Saccharomyces cerevisiae S288C: one gene and its partners. The protein of the gene in region 1 interacts with the protein of each later gene in a biochemical or structural test. Each region holds a gene or a part of one and is shown in the gene's direction. Other genes may lie near its edges.

What was found.
Region 2: the proteins of UBR2 (region 1) and DSN1 form a complex in vitro, tested with the Saccharomyces cerevisiae proteins (one study listed by BioGRID).
Region 3: the proteins of UBR2 (region 1) and MUB1 form a complex in vitro, tested with the Saccharomyces cerevisiae proteins (one study listed by BioGRID).

The regions. Positions count from the first base shown.
Region 1 is NC_001144.5:185,960-194,803, reverse strand, and holds UBR2 (putative ubiquitin-protein ligase UBR2), read left to right. Parts: upstream 1-1,522; coding exon 1,523-7,141; downstream 7,142-8,844. Other genes in the region: ESCRT-III subunit protein SNF7, read right to left, coding at 1-352; IZH3 (Izh3p), read left to right, coding at 7,675-8,844. UniProt on the Saccharomyces cerevisiae protein: E3 ubiquitin-protein ligase which probably functions outside the N-end rule pathway, since it lacks the residues essential for the degradation of N-end rule substrates. Mediates RPN4 ubiquitination and subsequent degradation.
Region 2 is NC_001141.2:372,797-378,253, forward strand, and holds DSN1 (MIND complex subunit DSN1), read left to right. Parts: upstream 1-2,634; coding exon 2,635-4,365; downstream 4,366-5,457. Other genes in the region: EGH1 (hydrolase), read left to right, coding at 1-202; DNA primase subunit PRI1, read right to left, coding at 281-1,510; U2 snRNP complex subunit MSL1, read left to right, coding at 1,729-2,064; STS1 (Sts1p), read right to left, coding at 4,491-5,450. UniProt on the Saccharomyces cerevisiae protein: Acts as an essential component of the kinetochore MIND complex, which is required for the spindle checkpoint and kinetochore integrity.
Region 3 is NC_001145.3:463,699-469,254, forward strand, and holds MUB1 (MYND-type zinc finger protein MUB1), read left to right. Parts: upstream 1-2,601; coding exon 2,602-4,464; downstream 4,465-5,556. Other genes in the region: YMR099C (glucose-6-phosphate 1-epimerase), read right to left, coding at 236-1,129; SRT1 (ditrans,polycis-polyprenyl diphosphate synthase), read right to left, coding at 4,747-5,556. UniProt on the Saccharomyces cerevisiae protein: Involved in the determination of the onset of polarized growth. Required for the ubiquitin-dependent degradation of RPN4. Cooperates with UBR2 to transfer ubiquitin from RAD6 to RPN4.

The DNA.
Region 1 (8,844 bases):
GAATAGTTTTCATTGCCTTAGCACCTTCCTGCATAGCCCTCATTGTCTCTAGATTTAAGTTTGCACTTTCTATAGAGAATAGCTGCTGTTCCATAGACTCCATTGTGCCTTCTACCTTACTTAAAAGTTGTTCGATTGTCTTCTTCTTTTTAAGTGCATTCTTCGCCATTACTTTATTGCCCTTCGTCAAAAAGATTCTAGCTTCATTCTCTTGATTTGTAATTTGAGTACGTAAATGCGATTGCTTTTTGGATAGAAGGTTGATATGCTCCCTCAACCGCACTATGGCCTTTGTTGGTGACTCTTTATTCTTGGCATTACTTGATGTCCAACCAAAAAGTGATGACCACATGCCTTATTTATCAATACTGTTATGTTTCTGCTGCTTCCGTCCGAAATACAATATCTTACCCTTTAGAAGCTCGTACTTCCCCTGCTCTGCCAACTATTCATGATTCGAAATCACCCACCGACTTATTTAAAAATCCCATCTTTTATCAAAAGGGTCGAACATGAATCGTATAAAATGATGCATATAACAAAAGCTATGTAGTATATATATTTGCTATTACTTACCAACATTAAGCATTGGTTAGTTACGGAACTCCATCGTTGTCGTTACTCTGCTCACCCCCACCTCAATAACTACTTTACATAAGTATGCGGCATATAACAATATGACAAGTCATCCTATAATTAAAAAAGTTAACTGTCACCATAGCATAACCGCCAAGCGCTAAATTAAGGGGGAAAGAAAAGAACGGTGTTGAACGCAAGCTATCTACCTCTTTCTTTGATGCGGTTGAAATATTATACTCGAATAACAACCATTTATAGAGGCGAAATCACTAGAATGGCCGGCTTAGTATAAACAATACCGAGTACGCCAATTTTATGGTACACAGTTTATACGTAATACTGATTTCCGACGAAGCCGCAATTGTAAGTCAAAACTTGAATTAATTAGTCTCACATGGCTGACATAACGAAGAATAAAATTAGGGAAAATACCGCCAAAATTTATCCCCCGTTTAGAGGAAGGTGATGACTCGACTCATCAATTTTCAATCTACATATAGCTACGTATTCATGCCACTCACTTCTTAGGATGTTAGATGTAACAAACCGAGCAATCATAAGGCCCATGTTATAATATTTGCGGGGCAAGTGTTACTGGTCCTAGATCCTAATTGCCCGTTTCTTCACTAGATGTGCAAAAAGCACACCATCACTTATCACGTTGTGGTGACAACGGCGGCAATTTCCAGTGGCGTTTGTTGAACTTTTAGGCGATATCAATAAAGAGCATCGTCAATGTACAGCTGTGGGGAGAAACCCAATAATCAACGCATTCATACTTTCAATTGCTTGGCATATTACTAACAACTCTATAAAAAAAAAAAGTTGCTCAAGCTTTTTAAAAAAAAGAGCCGGCTTTTTTTTCTAATTATTATCATTTACTCGTCTCTGATAGTAAAGGTAAGATTCGTTAACTAAATTAATAGCTACTTAACAAGCACGCATGGAAGATTCTGACCTGTCTATAACCAATATAAGAGATTTTCTTACCGAGCTCCCCAAACTCGCGAAATGCGAATATAGCGAAACCACTAGTTATTTACTATGGAAAACCTTAAATCTACGCCTTAAGCATAGTGATAACGATATAAACTGGCGCTCTCTCGTTTCAATACTCAATTCTGAAGCCTGGGAAAACGAAAAGTACAGAGACATACTAAATGGAAGAAAGTGGAGGACCCTGGAGTTCGAGAATGACCACCACTCTGTGGGTAATATGCATATTGGAACAGCGTGTACGCGTTTATGCTTCCCCTCTGAGACAATTTATTACTGTTTTACGTGCTCCACAAATCCATTGTATGAAATATGTGAGCTTTGTTTCGATAAAGAAAAACATGTAAATCATTCTTATGTTGCTAAAGTGGTAATGCGCCCAGAAGGCAGAATATGCCATTGTGGTGACCCCTTTGCCTTTAATGACCCAAGCGACGCGTTCAAGTGCAAGAACGAATTAAATAATATTCCTATTTCTAACGACAATAGTAACGTAACCGATGATGAAAACGTAATCTCCCTATTGAATTATGTTCTGGATTTTTTAATTGATGTAACTGTTTCATACAAAGAGGAGGCAGAAGCCCATTCAAGCGAGAGAAAAGCATCCTCCCTAATGCATCCTAATCAAAACAGCATTACTGATGATATAATGGAAAAACACGAATGTGAACCATTGGTCAATGATGAAAATTTTGTTTTCTTTGATAACAATTGGTCCAATACGAGAAAAGAAGCACATATGGAGTGGGCTATTCAAATCGAAGAAGAAGAGTGTAACGTACACTACATGGATTTAGCATCTACAATAACAAGAATTTTGAATACACCGGTTGAATATGCAATCTCAATAACGAAGGCTTTAGAAGATTCACACGATGTAGTGACTGTGCTACAAAGTGAGAATTTTTTCGAAATAGATCAAATAGCCAAGGAGTTTCAAAAGGAAAACATAGTAGTTCATGTAAGAAAAGCGGATGATATATTCAAGAGAAAGTTAACAGATGATTTAACAGATTGGTTATATTCTCTGTGCTTTAAGGCGGCCACGTCTTTGCAAAATAAATATGCTCTTAGAATTTCCATGCTAGATGTTTGGTATTCCCATTTTTCTAAAATGAGAGTATCTCCCACAAATACCAATCCTGACTTTTCTAAGATTAACTTATTAGGTGGATTCTTAATATCTAACGAAGATAGTGATGAATCATGGTTTAAACCTTGGTCATTAGAGAACATTGAAGACGAAAGAATTTCAAAAATACTCACTAATTACAATGAAAGGTTGATCAGAGCCCATTCGCCGAACACAGTAAGCCATTTCTACAATTTCTATGGATCTAGATTCCAATATATTATCATCAATTCTATTAATATCCTCTCAAAAAAATCTAAATTCAAAATGTTAAAGATCATGGCGTCATTATTCTCGTTAAGGGATGAAAGCAGAAAGTTTCTTGCCGCACAATATATTGATGTTTATCTATCGGTCTTGTATGATGCAGTTGCATCAGATGCTAAAGAATGTCAGGTAACTCTTATGAGTATATTAGGGCAATACACTTTCCAAGACCCCAGCATAGCAAATATGACTATAAGCTCGGGATTCATTGAACGAACTATTAGATTTGCTTTTACTCTCATGGCATTCAATCCAGAAGACTTGATGTCATATTTGCCCATCTCTTTATACAATGGCTTTAAGTTGCCCACCGAAACAATACGAAATCGAAGGACAATTATTTGCTTTAAAGACCTTTGTACGATAATGTCAGCGAACACTGTTCCGGAAGAACTACTTTCAAATGAGGCAATTTTTAACGCAATAATTGAGTCCTTCTCTGAATTCAGTAACGTGCTGCCATTGAAAAGGGAAACTAAAGAACACGTGGAGGTTGAAAACTTTGATTTTTCTGCATTTTATTTTTTTTTCTCATCAATACTAATAATGACAGATGGATACACACGTAGTATATCTTTGGTCAAAGATGCGGCTTTCCGTAAGCAAATCGTCCTTAAACTACTTGATGTTGCTCAAACCAGGGAATTTGAATCACTAACCAATTCTAGAAAAGCTATATCACCTGATAACGCATCAACGAATGAAAATGATTCGAACAAAGCGACTTTGTCTACAGTCAGAGAGACGATATGCAATTATGTCGCAGAGACTATTAATTTCCAGGTAGGTGTAAATACACAGTATTTTTTCAATCCAATGTCATATTTGTTCAAATTTGTTATTCAATGGAGTCAATGTGGTAGATATGAGCCAATTCCTGCTTCTTTGACAAACTACATTAATCTCTTCGAAGTTTTTCAAGATAAGCAGAAGGCTTTATATATATCAGAATCTGCTTTGTCAACCCTAGTCCTAATCGGGCAAATAAACGTCGGTTTCTGGGTAAGAAACGGAACTCCAATTACTCACCAGGCCCGGATGTATACAAAATACAGTATGCGAGAATTTACTTATATTAGTGACATTTTCAATGTGCAATTTAGTATGGCAATGTGCAATCCTGATGAACTGATGGTTACTTACCTCTCAAGGTGGGGTTTGAAGCACTGGGCAAATGGTGTACCTATGTATGATTATCCTGATACAGAAACAACTGTAGCCGTTGTTAATGAATGCATTCTGTTATTGATTCAATTGCTTACTGAAGTGAGATCATTGGTCATGAAATCATCAAAGGAAGGCTTCGAGAGAACGTTCAAATCAGAAATAATTCATGCCCTTTGCTTTGATACATGCTCTTACGCACAAATTGTTAACTGTATTCCAGAACATATCACCAAGCACCCTTCATTTGATATATATCTCGAAAAATACGCCAATTACACTTCTCCTGTAAGCTTGACTGACAATGGCATTTTCGTGTTGAAAGAAAAGTATAAAGATGAGATTGATCCTTATTATATAGGGTTGTCTTCCAGTAGGAGGTATGATGTAGAGAAAAATATCAGGCTGAATATGGCAAATTTGAAGAAAATGAAATATGAAGATACTTTTGTACCAGCAAAAAAGGTTAAAGATTTGTTGAAGAATACATTATTTTCTGGGCTGTATTCAATATCATCAGTGAATACTTTTGGTTTATTTTTGAAAAATACTTTAGATCACATTATAAAATATGATTATGACAATTTATTGCCGAGAGTGGTTCATTTGATTCATTTATGCGTGGTTAATAATCTGAATGAATTTATGGGGATACTGTGGCATGAATACGCAATTGTGGACACAGAATTCTGTCATTACCACAGCATTGGTTCTATCCTGTATTACTGTTTGTTGAAGGATAATTTTTCGGAATCTCATGGTAAGATTAGGGAAATTTTCAGGTATTTAATGGAAACAGCGCCTCACGTAAATGTAAACAGTTATTTGAGGGAGCAAACCACGTCATATACACCAGGAATATTGTGGCCTACAAAGGAAGATAAAAGCCACAAGGATAAAGAATTTGAAAGGAAAAAACATCTTGCTCGATTGAGAAAGAAAAAATTAATGAAGAAGTTGGCTCAACAGCAAATGAAATTCATGGAAAACAATAGTGTAGATACTTCCGATATTAGTACACCCAGAACCACATCACCTAGTTTATCTCCCACTAGAATAAATGCAGAGAATAGTAGTAACACAATCAACAGTTGCTGCGATGATGATTGCGTATTTTGCAAGATGCCGAAGGATGACGATGTATTTGTTTATTTTTCATACCAAGAACGGAACATATGTGATCATGGAATTGATTTTACGAATCCTACAGATGTTAATAGAATAAATTCGCTGTTCAGTGGTAAGCAAACAAAAGACAGTGCAATCCAAGAAAACCCCCAGGATGATGATGGAACGAGATTGAAATTTACTAGCTGTGAACCAGTATTAAGAGCATGCGGGCATGGGTCTCATACCAAATGTTTAAGTGGCCATATGAAGTCGATTCGCGGAATACAAAACCAAACTACAAAAAATATTCCATTATCGTATGGTTCAGGGTTGATATATTGTCCCGTATGCAATTCCTTAAGTAATTCATTTCTACCAAAAACAAATGATATAGATAAGAGAACTTCGAGCCAGTTTTTTATGTGTATTGAAAAGCGAAGTGAAGCGGAAGAAAACCTTGACCCAATGAGCTCTATTTGTATTAAAGCAGCGATGATTCTAGGTGATCTTCAGGGTAAAAAAGTCACGACTATCGAAGATGCATATAAAGTTGTTAATAGTGTTTTTATTAATACTATTTCAAATACTGAGCTCAGATTAAGATCGCACAAAAAGGAAGGAAAAATAGTGAATATGGAAAGAATATCCAGTCAGTGCATTTTAACCTTACATTTAGTTTGTGAGCTAAAGTCGTTTATTTACAAAAAATTTGTTAATTCAAAAACATTCAGCAGCGAAATCTCTCGTAAAATATGGAATTGGAATGAGTTTCTAATAAAGGGTAATAATGTGAATCTACTTTTGTATATGAGTCAAAATTTTGATAATATTGATGGAGGAAAAACCCCGCAACCGCCTAACCTATGTATCTATGAAATGTTCAAAAGAAGGTTCCATCAACTACTACTGTTGCTTGCAAGAGATATGATGAGAGTAAACTTTTACAAAGACTGTCGAAATAAAATCAAAATATCATCAAACGGATCTGAGGAACCATCGACAAGCTTTTCATATCTATTCAATACTTTTAAAAAGTATGTTGATCTCTTTAAACCAGACGACGTTCGGTTTGATTTTACAAGTTTAGAGAAAATTAAAGACTTTATATGCTCTCTATTACTAGAGTCATTGTCCATTTTTTGTAGAAGAACCTTCTTATTATTCAACATTCAGTATGATGATGATGGTGATGGTGATAATAATAATAACCGCAGCAATAATTTCATGGACGTCAAACAGCGTGAAATAGAGCTTATTTTCCGGTATTTTAAATTACCCAATTTAACTCACTTTTTGAAGGATTTTTTCTACAACGAACTAACACAAAATATAGAAAGGTATAATGATGGTAATGATAATTTGAGAATTCAGCAAGTAATATATGACATGGTGCAGAACATAAACACAAGAGCATATCCTTCACCAGAGCATATCCAGCTTATCGAACTACCATTGAACCTTTCCAAATTTTCCCTTGATAATGATGAAATATCGAATAAATGTGATAAATACGAAATCGCAGTATGCTTGTTGTGTGGCCAAAAATGCCATATTCAAAAAAGCATAGCACTGCAAGGTTATTTACAGGGGGAATGTACTGATCATATGAGAAATGGATGCGAAATCACCTCCGCTTACGGAGTTTTCTTAATGACCGGCACAAATGCGATATATCTGTCATACGGCAAAAGAGGTACATTTTATGCTGCACCTTATCTAAGTAAATACGGAGAGACCAACGAAGACTACAAATTCGGTACTCCCGTCTATTTGAATCGGGCGAGATACGCGAATCTAGCGAATGAGATTGTTTTTGGCAACATGATTCCGCACATAGTGTTCCGACTAACGGACGGCAGTGCAGATCTTGGTGGGTGGGAGACTATGTAGTTATCCAACAAATGTCTAGTCATTCAAAATTGCTACGAAATTAGCGTATCCGAAAAATCAAAAGAAATTTTATCTGTTTTAATTGGCGTGGGGAAGTGGGGTAGGGTCGAGGATCATTACGCTTTCTCGTGGGAAGGGACAGGGACGGACCGAAAAAAAAAGAAATGCCGCAGAAAAAGAAATGTTTTAGTGTGGGGTATGGGCTGAAGCTCGTATAGTGCAGGGTGACTTCACTTTTCTTTTTACCCTGCAGGAAATGGAGAAAGTGTTGATGGATAAGGTATATAGTCATAAGGTGACACAGCGTGGGTGTACATCTAGAAAGCTTGGCGATTCGAGCGAAGTGGTGGTTTACTCGTTTTATAATAAGAGTTTTTGGACATTATTTTTTCTTTAGGACACAGTTGATTCAAATTCTACACTTGTTTTGTCGTCTGGTAAAGTTTAGCCATTGTAAAGTGGACAAAGAAGAAGCTGCAACGCAGATAAGCTGAAAAATAGTTCACATCCCAACAGACAATCAAATTAAGTACATGATGGACTCGTCAAGCAAAAGCTTAACTCAGTATATACCCTCACCCATGGGATCTCTATCAAGGCTAAAGCAGAAGGGTGTGGACAATTTTCAGAAGGTGAAAAAATCCGGTAAATCCATCTATAATTACAACTACTCAAAATTCGTTCCTCATCCATTTTCAACTATTGATGAAAGTGTTAAACACTCTGAAAGTGGGCGGTATGATGATTTGGAGATAATTCGTCCAACAAAAGAAAAGGAAGTAACAAGTTCTGTGTACAAAAGAAACAGTGGCAAGTCTCTGAATACAGAATCTCAGTTTTCACTGGGAGATTCAGATGCAGCCACTTTGGTGAATTCAGTCGCTACTTTCAAGCTTAACAATGCTTCTACATCCACTTCACTGGTGTCTTCATCTTCAACTGTATGTTCTCAAGCGAAGTCCTCGTTACGTTCCCCAACAAGTCGTCTCAATGATACAAAAATCAAAGAGGAAAACAATTATATTTCCAGCGTGAAAGACTATTGCGGTCCAATGAGAAAATCCATGGTAAAGACGGAAATCCTCATTGAAGAACCTTTGAATCCTACTACCGATATCAAGTCTTTTATAAACTCATACAACCATGGCAAAGCGTATAGTCTAGGTGAAACTCAACATTTACATTATTATCAGTTGCCATTCCCATGGAGGGAAAACAGATACATAATCCATGGCTATAGGTTTTACAATACCCATTCCAAATCTTTGTTGTCTATCTTTAACTGGTACGGCTGGCATAATGAAACTTCAAATATTTGGTCTCATTTGTTAGGAGCCATTTATATAATCTACTTGGCAATTTACGATTTCCCTCAGTCTGAAGTTTGGCGGAATTCCCAGGTTCCACCACAGGCTAGATGGATTGTTTTCATGTTTTTGGCAGCTGCGTTGAAATGTATGCTAAGCTCCGTGTTTTGGCATACTTTCAACGGAACGTCCTTCTTGAAGCTACGTTCTAAATTTGCGTGTGTCGACTATAGCGGTATTACGATCTTAATTACAGCTTCGATATTGACAACGGAGTTTGTTACCATGTATTCATGTTACTGGGCGATGTACACTTACATGAGTATTTCTCTGGCGCTGGGTGTATTTGGTGTGTTTATGAATTGGTCGCCTCGCTTTGATAGACCTGAAGCAAGG
Region 2 (5,457 bases), on another chromosome or scaffold:
ACGGCACCATTTTACACCAAGCCGGTTGTCAATTCGTTCATCATCAGGTCATTATACCTATAACACTGACTACCAGGTTCTTGAATGGTTTCACGAGCCTGGCCATCAGTTCATTGAAATTTGCGCAAAATCGAAGTCAAGGCCCAACACCCCTGGAAGTGACACTTCGAATGACTTACCAGCGGAATGCGTTATCAGCTAAACAAAAATTGAACCAAAAGCTATAGTAGTCATATATATATATATACACCCTTTTTATTGTTACAAAAAGATTTCACCATCAGAAATCTAAAGAAGCCGGTTCATCATCATCTTCACGTTCTCTTTTCACTGAACCCAGTTCATTTTTCAAAAGAGAACTCACATATGCTTGGAACTGATTGATAAAAGGTTGTAAAGCTGTTAATGAAACATCATTATTTTTCTCCATTTCTGTTTGAAGATCAATTAGCTTAGGTGCTTTTTCAGGTGCAAAGGATTCATCAATAGGCACACAGACATTCCCCGTAGCAGGATGAATACAAAAAGGGGCCTTTAACAAATGAATTGTTTGCTTTGTAACTTCCACATCCAGCTTCGGATAAAGAGTCATCAATACGAGATCTTCCTTACATTCACGTAACTTAATTATGTGAGAGTCTTGCTTGGGGCCTTTGAAGAGCGATGTAGCTATCTGATCTATATCATTCCACTTCTCTTTGCTTGACCTCCTTGGATTGTCCAGCCAATACTTCTTTAATGAATCAATCAATTGTTTATCATATAATGCAGGCAATAAAGTTTGGATAGCATGTTGGTCATCTTCCCAAGGATTTTGCTCTTCGAGCATAATGCTGACAAAGAAAGGTTTCAATTGCTCCAAAGAACGAGCAAGATGAGGGTGATAAGGCCTCTTCAAAGCCAATCGCTTGTCAGTATTTCTGTCTCTAATCACGTTGACATAATCTAAAACGTTTCTTCGTTGTACATCCGTCAAAGCCCGTGCCCGTTTGTCGCTTACCCAACAATGAGCACCACGTCTACCTGAAAATACCCAGATGAAGTCCTTATAACCAAAATCCTCTCTTAGGGCCGTGTTCGTAATTTTCATTGCCAAAGATATAAATTTCCAGCACTTAGAGCAAACTTGGGCTCCGGAGCAACACGTTCTGAAGGCATCGTAATCATCCATATCAATATCAAACACCAACTCCTTCTCTAAAGCTTTCAATTCGCTTTTTAATAGAGTATCACGTTCTCTTGGCGGTTTGTTATATATGGCACCGATTTCAAATCTGTCTGGGTTGGCTTTTTCTATTTGTGCTTTGAAATCTTGCACAGAGTTAAAAGAATTATACCTTTTGTAAGCACCTGACCTGAACGCCATAGCGAATTCTCTGTTAATCATATCCCTAGAAGGTTTGGGCGAATGATTCAGCCAGTTGAAAATGTGTTTGAATGGATAGAGCGACTTATAGTAGTACTCCATGTCTGAGGAGCTTGGCCCATTAGTCTTTACTGAATTGGTCATGATGTTTATAAAACAGTTTTTTGAGTTGCTAAAACTAATTTTTGCTAGTATTATGGCACGCTTTTCTCTTCAGCTTCAAAGTATTTTTGATTAATTTTTTATCTTTTTGGCGTTATGAAACTTTTCAACTGAAAGAAAACAATAGGTAAAAGTGGCAAAGGGCACTGACCGAGCAACTGTTTCGAAACTCACGCATCATTCACACGTAGGATATAGTAATGGTTGAACCAGCAAGGAAAAAGCAGAGGATTGATCGCGATACTCATCACACTGTGGCTGAACCAGTAACGGAAGCTAAAAATACGCTGTACGTGAGCCAGCTTAATGAAAAAATTAATATGCAACGACTGCGAGTAAACCTTTTTTTGCTCTTTGCTACGTTTGGAGAGGTACTGAAGGTTAGCATGAATTTCAAGAAACAGCGGGGCCAAGCCTTTATCACCATGAGAACCATCGACCAGGCCAGTCTGGCCCAGATTTCATTAAACGGCGAGCGATTCTTTGGTAAGCCTTTGAAAGTTGAGTTCAGCAAGAGTGAAACTAAAACACTATGACTGGCTTAACGCTCTATTCATAGCAGCACGTATATACCGAGAAGAGCTGCCATAGGGGCACATCAAAGTCAAGAGCGCAGAACCAAACCAAAATGTTTATATCCAAACAACCCGGCGTTATAGATGGTCGTCAACGGACAAATAATATCAAGGCATGTATCAATATGGAGTAGATATAGAATCTACAAAAATCTGTAGCAGAAAGAGTCTCCCGAAAAGACATACTGCAGAACGGCCGCTTATTCCTCACTTCAATTGCTTAAATAATACAAAGGGCAAACCACAGAGTACCCCATTGCCAAAAGACGTTTATTACATTTTGGAAGTGATAATTTAGTATATAAGACAGCTTACTATATGATGAATTACAGTGTAGTTCAGCGTTTATATGTGGCTTCGTTTAAAATGATATATATTTCTAGTAAAAGCAAAAATTCACAAATGATAAACAAATCAAAATAAACATCAAAAGAACCGCCAATTGATAAAAGCACAAAGTACCAGGCAGAGTTGTGAAACCGGGCCTCTTCTATTGTACCACACACAAATTTTTCTTTATTTAGGTAGAGGATGAGTCTGGAACCCACACAAACGGTCTCCGGTACGCCGCCGATGCTGCATCAAAGAACACACAAACAAGTATACCCATTGCGGATGGAAACTATCCCAATATTGGAATCCGACTCCAAGGCTACTCTACAAAGCAACGAGCCCACCCAGAAAGATGAGGAGGAGACCGAATATTTTGAGAATAAACAATCCGTGTCGAATTTGAGCCCCGATTTGAAATTCAAACGACACAAGAATAAACATATCCAGGGGTTCCCTACTCTGGGCGAAAGGCTGGATAACCTGCAAGATATAAAAAAGGCCAAGAGAGTGGAGAATTTCAATTCTTCTGCGCCAATTGCTGACGACAATCATAGTGGAGATGCGACTGCAAATGCGACTGCAAATGCGACTGCAAATGCGACTGCGAATGTTAATGCAAGTGCAATGCCCGCTCCATATATGCCTTATTACTATTACTACCATCCGATGAATGCACCAACTCCTGCAATGATACCATATCCTGGATCACCAATGCATTCGATTATGCCCAACTCCTCATTACAGCCCTTTTATTCGCAACCCACTGCTGCAGGCGGTCCCGATATGACTACTCCCCAAAATATATCTTCATCACAACAATTGCTGCCAGCTCCGCAATTGTTTCCGTACGGATCATTCCATCAACAACAACTTCAGCAACCACACTACATTCAACGAACAAGGGAAAGGAAAAAATCAATCGGAAGTCAGAGAGGTAGAAGATTGTCTATGTTAGCATCTCAAGCTAATGGGGGAAGCACTATTATATCTCCGCACAAGGATATTCCTGAAGAGGATTTTTACACCGTGGTTGGAAATGCGTCTTTTGGTAAAAATTTACAAATACGACAGCTTTTCAACTGGTGTTTAATGAGATCTCTGCATAAATTGGAGTTGAAGGCTAAAAACCAAGAGGAAGAAGGGGAACTTGAACATCTGACCAAAAAATCCAAGCTCGAATCAACAAAGGCAGAAACTGATTATGTGGATCCCAAACGTCTGGCTATGGTGATAATAAAAGAGTTTGTCGATGATCTTAAAAAAGATCATATTGCGATAGATTGGGAAGATGAGGAAAAATATGAGGATGAAGATGAGGAGAAGATTCTGGATAATACTGAAAACTACGATGACACGGAACTGCGACAACTGTTTCAGGAAAACGACGACGACGACGACGACGACGATGAGGTGGACTACTCGGAAATACAGAGGTCTAGACGTAAATTTAGTGAAAGGAGAAAAGCCCTACCGAAAGAACCAAAAAAACTATTACCTAATAGCAAAAACGTGGAAAACACAAAGAATCTTAGCATTTTAACGAGCAAGGTGAACGCGATCAAAAATGAAGTGAAAGAATGGGCAGTCACTTTAGACACTTCGAGACCAGATCTTGAATGGCAAGAATTGACTTCATTCTCATCACAACCACTGGAACCGTTGTCGGATACAGAAGAGCCAGACCTTGCGATTGCAGATGTTGAGACAAAGTTAGAAACAAAAGTCGATGAGCTAAGGTACCAGTCGCATATATTAAACTCGCACTCACTAGCCTTAAACGAAATAACAAATTCAAAAGTGAATAAATTGAACATAGAAACAATGAGAAAGATCTCAAGCGAAACGGACGATGACCACTCACAAGTGATTAATCCTCAACAGCTGTTGAAGGGATTAAGTTTATCTTTCAGTAAAAAACTGGATTTATGAAATAAAAGAAAAAATCAAAAAAAAATCGGATACTTCTGCATATGTAACATTACACAGTCATACATTTATATATACATATATATACATATTAATGTATTTGAAAAAGCAAAAGAACCATTCTATCCTTAGTTAAAGGGCGAATCAGTAGCAGCGCTACCACTATTGTTATTGTTTTCGTTTGCTGTCATGGTATCGTGGTGGTAAATAATACTTTCTTGAAGTGATAATGTTGATGACGATGCTGCTGAAGGGCTACCCATATCTAAAGATTTGAACAGCTGGAGTGGGCGTTCCAATAACCCATTTGAATGTTCATTGTATACCTGTAATCTTGTCATATGACTTTTCCAGACGGAGCTATTATCTGCTAATAAAATTATCCTGTCACGGGCAACATGTTCAATAAGCGTACACCATACGTGAGACAATTGTTCAATGCATTTATCGTAGTAGTAATTATTACTAGCTAATTCAAATCTGGGCAATTTGATAACTAATTCCGTGCAAATGTCTAAGAATTTTAATGATGCGTGCAAATTTTCCAAACGTGGTGGAATGTTATCCAGTATGAAATCCACCAAACAGTTTAAGAACTCCAGAATTTGAGGTTTCATTCTCACGAAAGCATAGTCATCTAATTTATTACTCTCATAAGACCTATTGTAAGGTATGCTCTGGTAAACGGCTTCTGATTTTTGTTTCAACATGTCCAGACACTTTTGTATACTGAAGTCTAATCCGATGACTCTCGTATGTACGCTTTGTTGTATTTCTGGATGTTTTGTCATCAAATCCACCAACAACTGCTGTAATTGGTTCTTGTTCATTAGTTCCATGCCTCGTTGCAAGGGCAGAGGCTGCCCTCTGATGAGCGATCCTGGCTGAGGCCTCCTCTTGGAGACGCCCCCATATTTCATCACATTCTTGTTACGAGGTAGTTCTTCCTCTTCTTGCTCCTCGTTGGCATACCGCCTTTTTTGTTTCACTCCAGCAGTTGGAATCATTACATTGCCTGTGCCTTGTGAACTGACTGTACTCTGTGTTATTTTACTGCTGGGTTTAAAACCCCATTCAAACCCCATCATAATGCTA
Region 3 (5,556 bases), on another chromosome or scaffold:
ACTTAATTTTACGATAATATGCTGCCAGAACAAGTTTAACAATACGCTTTTGGCAATTTGTTCTTGCTGCACTTGGAATTAAATAAGAGTCTTAGTAAACAGAATGTTGCTTTAGTTGTTCGTCAACAAAAACAAAGATAAAGGATGGAGGTAATCAAATAGCCCACATTAAGAAAAGTATACAACTGGGAATTTACTTTATAAAAATTACCGTTGCTACATTTTTTTATATTATTTATTGAATAGCTTGATATTTCAATTCTTCTTTGCAAAGTAATTGATAAGCATTCCATTTTTTACCAGGAGCCAAGGAAATAAAATCATGAACATGACCAGGTTCAATACATATCATTTGTTGGTAACCAGTTTTTGGTTCGAAATCGGCCATCCCTTGAGACTTCTCAATCCATGGATTCCAAACAACAGTGTCGGGCAAGTTGTATCTTTTTAGAGTGTGAATTTGAACGCCCTTGTCAACTATTTGAATGGCCCGTTCGGCGCTGACATTCTGATAAATTACATCGGTTTCTTGATTGAAGGTAACGACTGGGTGCTTGTCGACGTAGGATTCCTTCAACAGTTGGTCATAAAGTTTCATGCCAGCTAAATTAGAGACCATTGTTCCTTCAATATCTTCGATACGGAAGTATGTATGGAACAACCAGTTGAACTTTAATTCCTTGGAACTAGATGTGTTTTCTACTTCTATGGCAGTTTTCAAATAATCGGAGCCTAATTCAACAGTCAAAATCAAAAGATAATCCATTGGCCACAATTTGGTCAATTCTGGGTTAGCAATTTCTGGTTTCAAGCCAAATTGTACGGTCGGTGGGTTTTCCTTAGTTTGACCCAAAAACTCCCAAGTAGAATTTCTTGCAAGACCATGTTGAGGTAATTTACTCAAATGTTCATCGGTGCTATTTTTCCCGAATACAGGAAAGACCAAAGGTATACCACCTCTCACAGGTTTGCTACCATCCAATTTAGCAGCAGTAGACAACCACAACTGTTCTTCAGATTTCAATTTCCAAGAATAAACTGTAGCACCGTACTTTAGAATATGAACGCTGGTGGTCTCATCAGCTGGATGAGTCAAAACAACTTCTTTATCAGTTTCTTTGATAGGCATGGCTTTGTGTTTTAATCTTTCTTGGTTCAAGTTTTACCAAAGGCTTATAATGAACCTCAGAATCACCTCTTTATTCATTTCTAGGGACCTACTAAGTTTTCTTTCGGCGTGAAAAATAAAAGGCGCATTGGTGACCCCATTTGCGATACCTTTTTATGGAAAGACAGCTTGAAGAAAGACCTTGTTATCATTGACTGCGTCTAGCGAACGAGGACATCTACACACTATTTCTTCTGCTGCAATGATTGATGCCGTTTAGATGAATGGTCGGGACGTAACTTATGTTTTAAGAAGAAGGCACTTTTCCTGGTGCAATAGATGAATCTCGGTTTCAAGTTAACTATATAAATATGGGGTTGGCATTATATGTCATGCTTTATTATAATTAGGCATATAAAACTACATGGTTATGAAAGGCGCTGGCAGTAAAAGGGTTGTTTGTCAATGGCAAGAATTAATCATTCTCGCATTGAAATATATGTAGATCGAGGTGAACTGTTAGATGGTCCATCAGACATTTATTATTTTGACTTATGTATTTCCCTCTCAATTTTGTTATCAGTAATCGAGTCATGTGTACTTTAAAGTTCATATTCTCACGTTTTTCGCAAGATATTAGCCGCCAATAGCAACTCCGAATAATAAGAGCTATATAAAGGCCGTTGAAGCCCACGGAAAGAGAAAGAAAACTAATAGTTATTACAATATAGACCGTTGGTTTTTTCTTTCCCTCCTGGAGCAGCTGCGTATAGTTACTACCTAAGAAGTGGGCTAGAAGTTGGCTAGAAGTGGGCTACTTAATATATATCTTTGGATACATAGAAAGGAACCAGGAAAAAGGAAAATTATTTAGATGGCTTCCATAAGTTTATGATGGTTCAAACGGCAAAAAGCCTTTTGACTATTTTTCTTGGTTGAACTATCTTCTTATTAGGCCTACTACAACAATGCATCGAGCTAGGATAACAACTAGAATACTTTGGTTATGTATTGTATGGGTGTTCAGTGGCAAAATTTGAGAGTTGGGTTATTGATGGTCGGCCTATACAAACGAAAGACCTAGAGCAGCTCACAAGGAAGAAAGTGCTGGACAAACTTCCCTACCTGAAGAGAAAAATATCCGTTTTTTATATAGTTTCTGTAAGTGTGCACAGTGACTTCCTCATTAGAGCGATATAGATAATTTGAGACTTTATTTATTTTTTATTTTTGTTGGTTCTCATATTCAACCTTCCATTTATCTAAGTTGAACCATTAAACATTCCCTTTTTTACTTTGCTAATTTCATCATACCCATTGATCAACTATAAGTGAAACTTGGGAATCTTCCATTATACAAAGGTGAGGTCCCTATTTGTTGCATTTTTCAATTCATTTCCCTGGGAGTTTTTGTTTGTTTTTGCTATATTAACATATCATAACAGCGTATAGAACGTAATTTGAAATATTCAAAACAAAGAAAAGGTAAAGAAATGAGAGACTCTAATCATCGATCATTAACGTCGAACAAGCCTATAGTAACAATAACATCTACTGTCTATGACCGAAGGGCATTGGATATCAACTCTAGTATTCCGTTAATAAACTCCCTAAACTACTTAACATATCTAACCTCTAATTCATCAAAAGTTAGGGAAACGGTAGCTAACGACGGTGCTCTCGAAAGATTAGTCTCAATATTGAGGAGTTGTCATTTAAGTTTGTTTGAGTTGCTGGATTTGGATTTAGAAAATTTTAATGAGCACGAAAACATAAAGGATCTATGGAAGGAGAAAAGACTAGCACTATGCGCTTGGAAATGGACTTTAACATTTCAGTGCTTAGTATTGACAGGTACTAGAGGGACAGAACAAATTCGTAAAAAAGTGGTAATGTCTGGGGTCTTATCTGTGCTGGTCACAGTATTGGATAACTATTTACTATATCATAAAAATTACGACTTCATCAAAGATCAAACAATGACCTTTGACTTCAAAGGGATAACCACGGAGACAATGTATAAATTCATGAGAAAAGATGAGAATGAAACATATCAGCAGTATATAGAGTTCATTACAGGTCAGGATAAATTGAAGTTGTCAACTGACAAAAATTTTCTAAACGAACGATTAGTGGCACCGTCTATGACAATTCCAACTGATTTTAGTGATATATGGGGCCGGTTTGCAGACCTAGCTAGCAATTTTGAACCTGACCAGGAAAGACACGACGACGACATTGATATTGATAGTGAAGTAGAAAGTGAAAATTTTGATGCACATAAGAATTTCTTTTCGCAACCAGACATTAATAGACCTACAATTTCCACTCCACGTGAATTTTTTCTCGGAAGAATTGTCCCCAAACAAGACGACGTTATATGGTCGCTTCAGTTATTAGCTTTTGTTTCGAAGTATACATATATGAAATCAACCCTTCAAAATGTTGAGCTGGTTGAATCCCTATCGTTCAGAAGTATGGCTTACAAAATTAAACAGAGAATCTCAGAAGAGAATGACTTAGAAGAACAAGAAAGAGACGTAACTGTAAAATTGTCTTCATTATATCCTTATTTATCGAAAAATCCTGAAAACAATTCCAAAGTTAAGGCACTAGATACTAGCAAAATGGATCCATTTTTCAAAGAATTAGAAGAACTCTCAAACAGATGTCAACAAGAAGAACAAAATGAAATATGTAATAACCACTGTCCCGTTCTTAATTTGTTTGAGCGCTACCGTGTACCGAAACCTAGCGACGACAATGCCTATGGCAAAGACAAGGAAAGAATTAATTTAAGGAAGAAAATATCTGATAACTTTGAAAGGCGCTGGAGCTACGATAAAATGAAAAAGGAATTAACAAATATTGTTTACAAAAACAAGGTACTAACAAATGTTGTAAACATCTTCCCCTTAGTCGAAAAATATACAGTGAGCGCAGAAAATACACATGATGTTATATATTGGAGTTCTGTCATCATGAGAAATTCATGTCGAAAAAATGAGATCTTAGGTGTGCGTCAGTGTGCCAATTTTTCGTGCGGAAAATGGGAAGATTTTCCAAGACAATTTGCAAAATGTCGTCGATGCAAAAGAACGAAATATTGCTCACGAAAGTGTCAATTAAAAGCATGGGGATATCATAGGTATTGGTGTCACGAAGTTGGATCAAGTCATATGAGATCCACGAATACTACCACAGGTGTCAATACCCCAAATGAGCCTAGTTCTTTAAATGCCACCGCTACTACAGCAGCTGATGTTTCGAATTCTACCAGTACGTTCACTCCTAATATATCCACCACCGTACCTGATGAAATAAGCAATAGGGATGAAAATAGCATACCTGAGTAAAGTACAAGGGGATTTCGATGACCTAGGTTTAACAAGATCATGAAATATTCATTAACGGAGTTTTTTGTTTTCGCTTTTTTTATTTTTTGTTCCTAATTTTTTTTTTTTTTACATTTTATTAGCTATACACTTGGCGCAAGGATATTTTATATACCGGATATAATAGATAATTAAAAGACTACTAATTAAAAATGATGTAATATGGTAATAGGTATGGAAGAATCAGGGAGTTTTCAGAATGTTCTTTGCCCTCTCTTGGGCTTTCTAGTTTTGCACTTTTACTTATTCATCTCCTGTAACCGAAACTGAAATGGGGGGGTTTGGAAAGTTGTACAAAGACATAGCTGTTTTCTTTTTTTTAAATATTGAAGGAACGCTTTCATGTATTTTTTCAAACAATGAGTGATTCTTCTCATTATATTTTTGAATGGTGGAAAAGAAGGACCATTTGAGAATCATCAGGTACATAGCAAAGAAGCTAAAATTTGGCCACAACGTATCACTAAATTCAATGGTGGCATTTTCATGTACTTGCCATAGCATATAGTCTGAGAGCCTCCTATGCCCACTTGTTCTGATTAATAATTCACATTTATTGGAATGGAAACCCATGTACATTTTATTAGTAAATTTTCTTATATTAATCCTTGGTGATTTATTTTCCAAATGGTCTTCAACTGAATCACGAATAGTATGTAACATATCATTTCTTGAAGTGTAAGGAAAACATATAAATAAAGTGAAATCGTCTCCATCCTGTGTGATTTCTTCCACTTTTTTAATTTTTTTTCTCATTTCTGGAGATAGTAAAGATTGATCACCTACTATTCTTATTTTAGATCCGTATAAGGGATCCTTATAGTCCTTGGCTCTTTTTGCGAATTCATCAAGCTTTACCGTAAACAAATTCATTAGCGTATCTACTTCTTCTTTTGGTCTATTAAAATTTTCAATAGAAAATGCATAGGCGGAAACACATTTTACACCCAATCTTTTGCAGATATACAGTAGTGTTAGTAACGTTAACCCACCAGCTTCATGGCCTTTTTTTACTGGTAGCCTTCTTGACTTGGCATATCTCCGGTTACCATC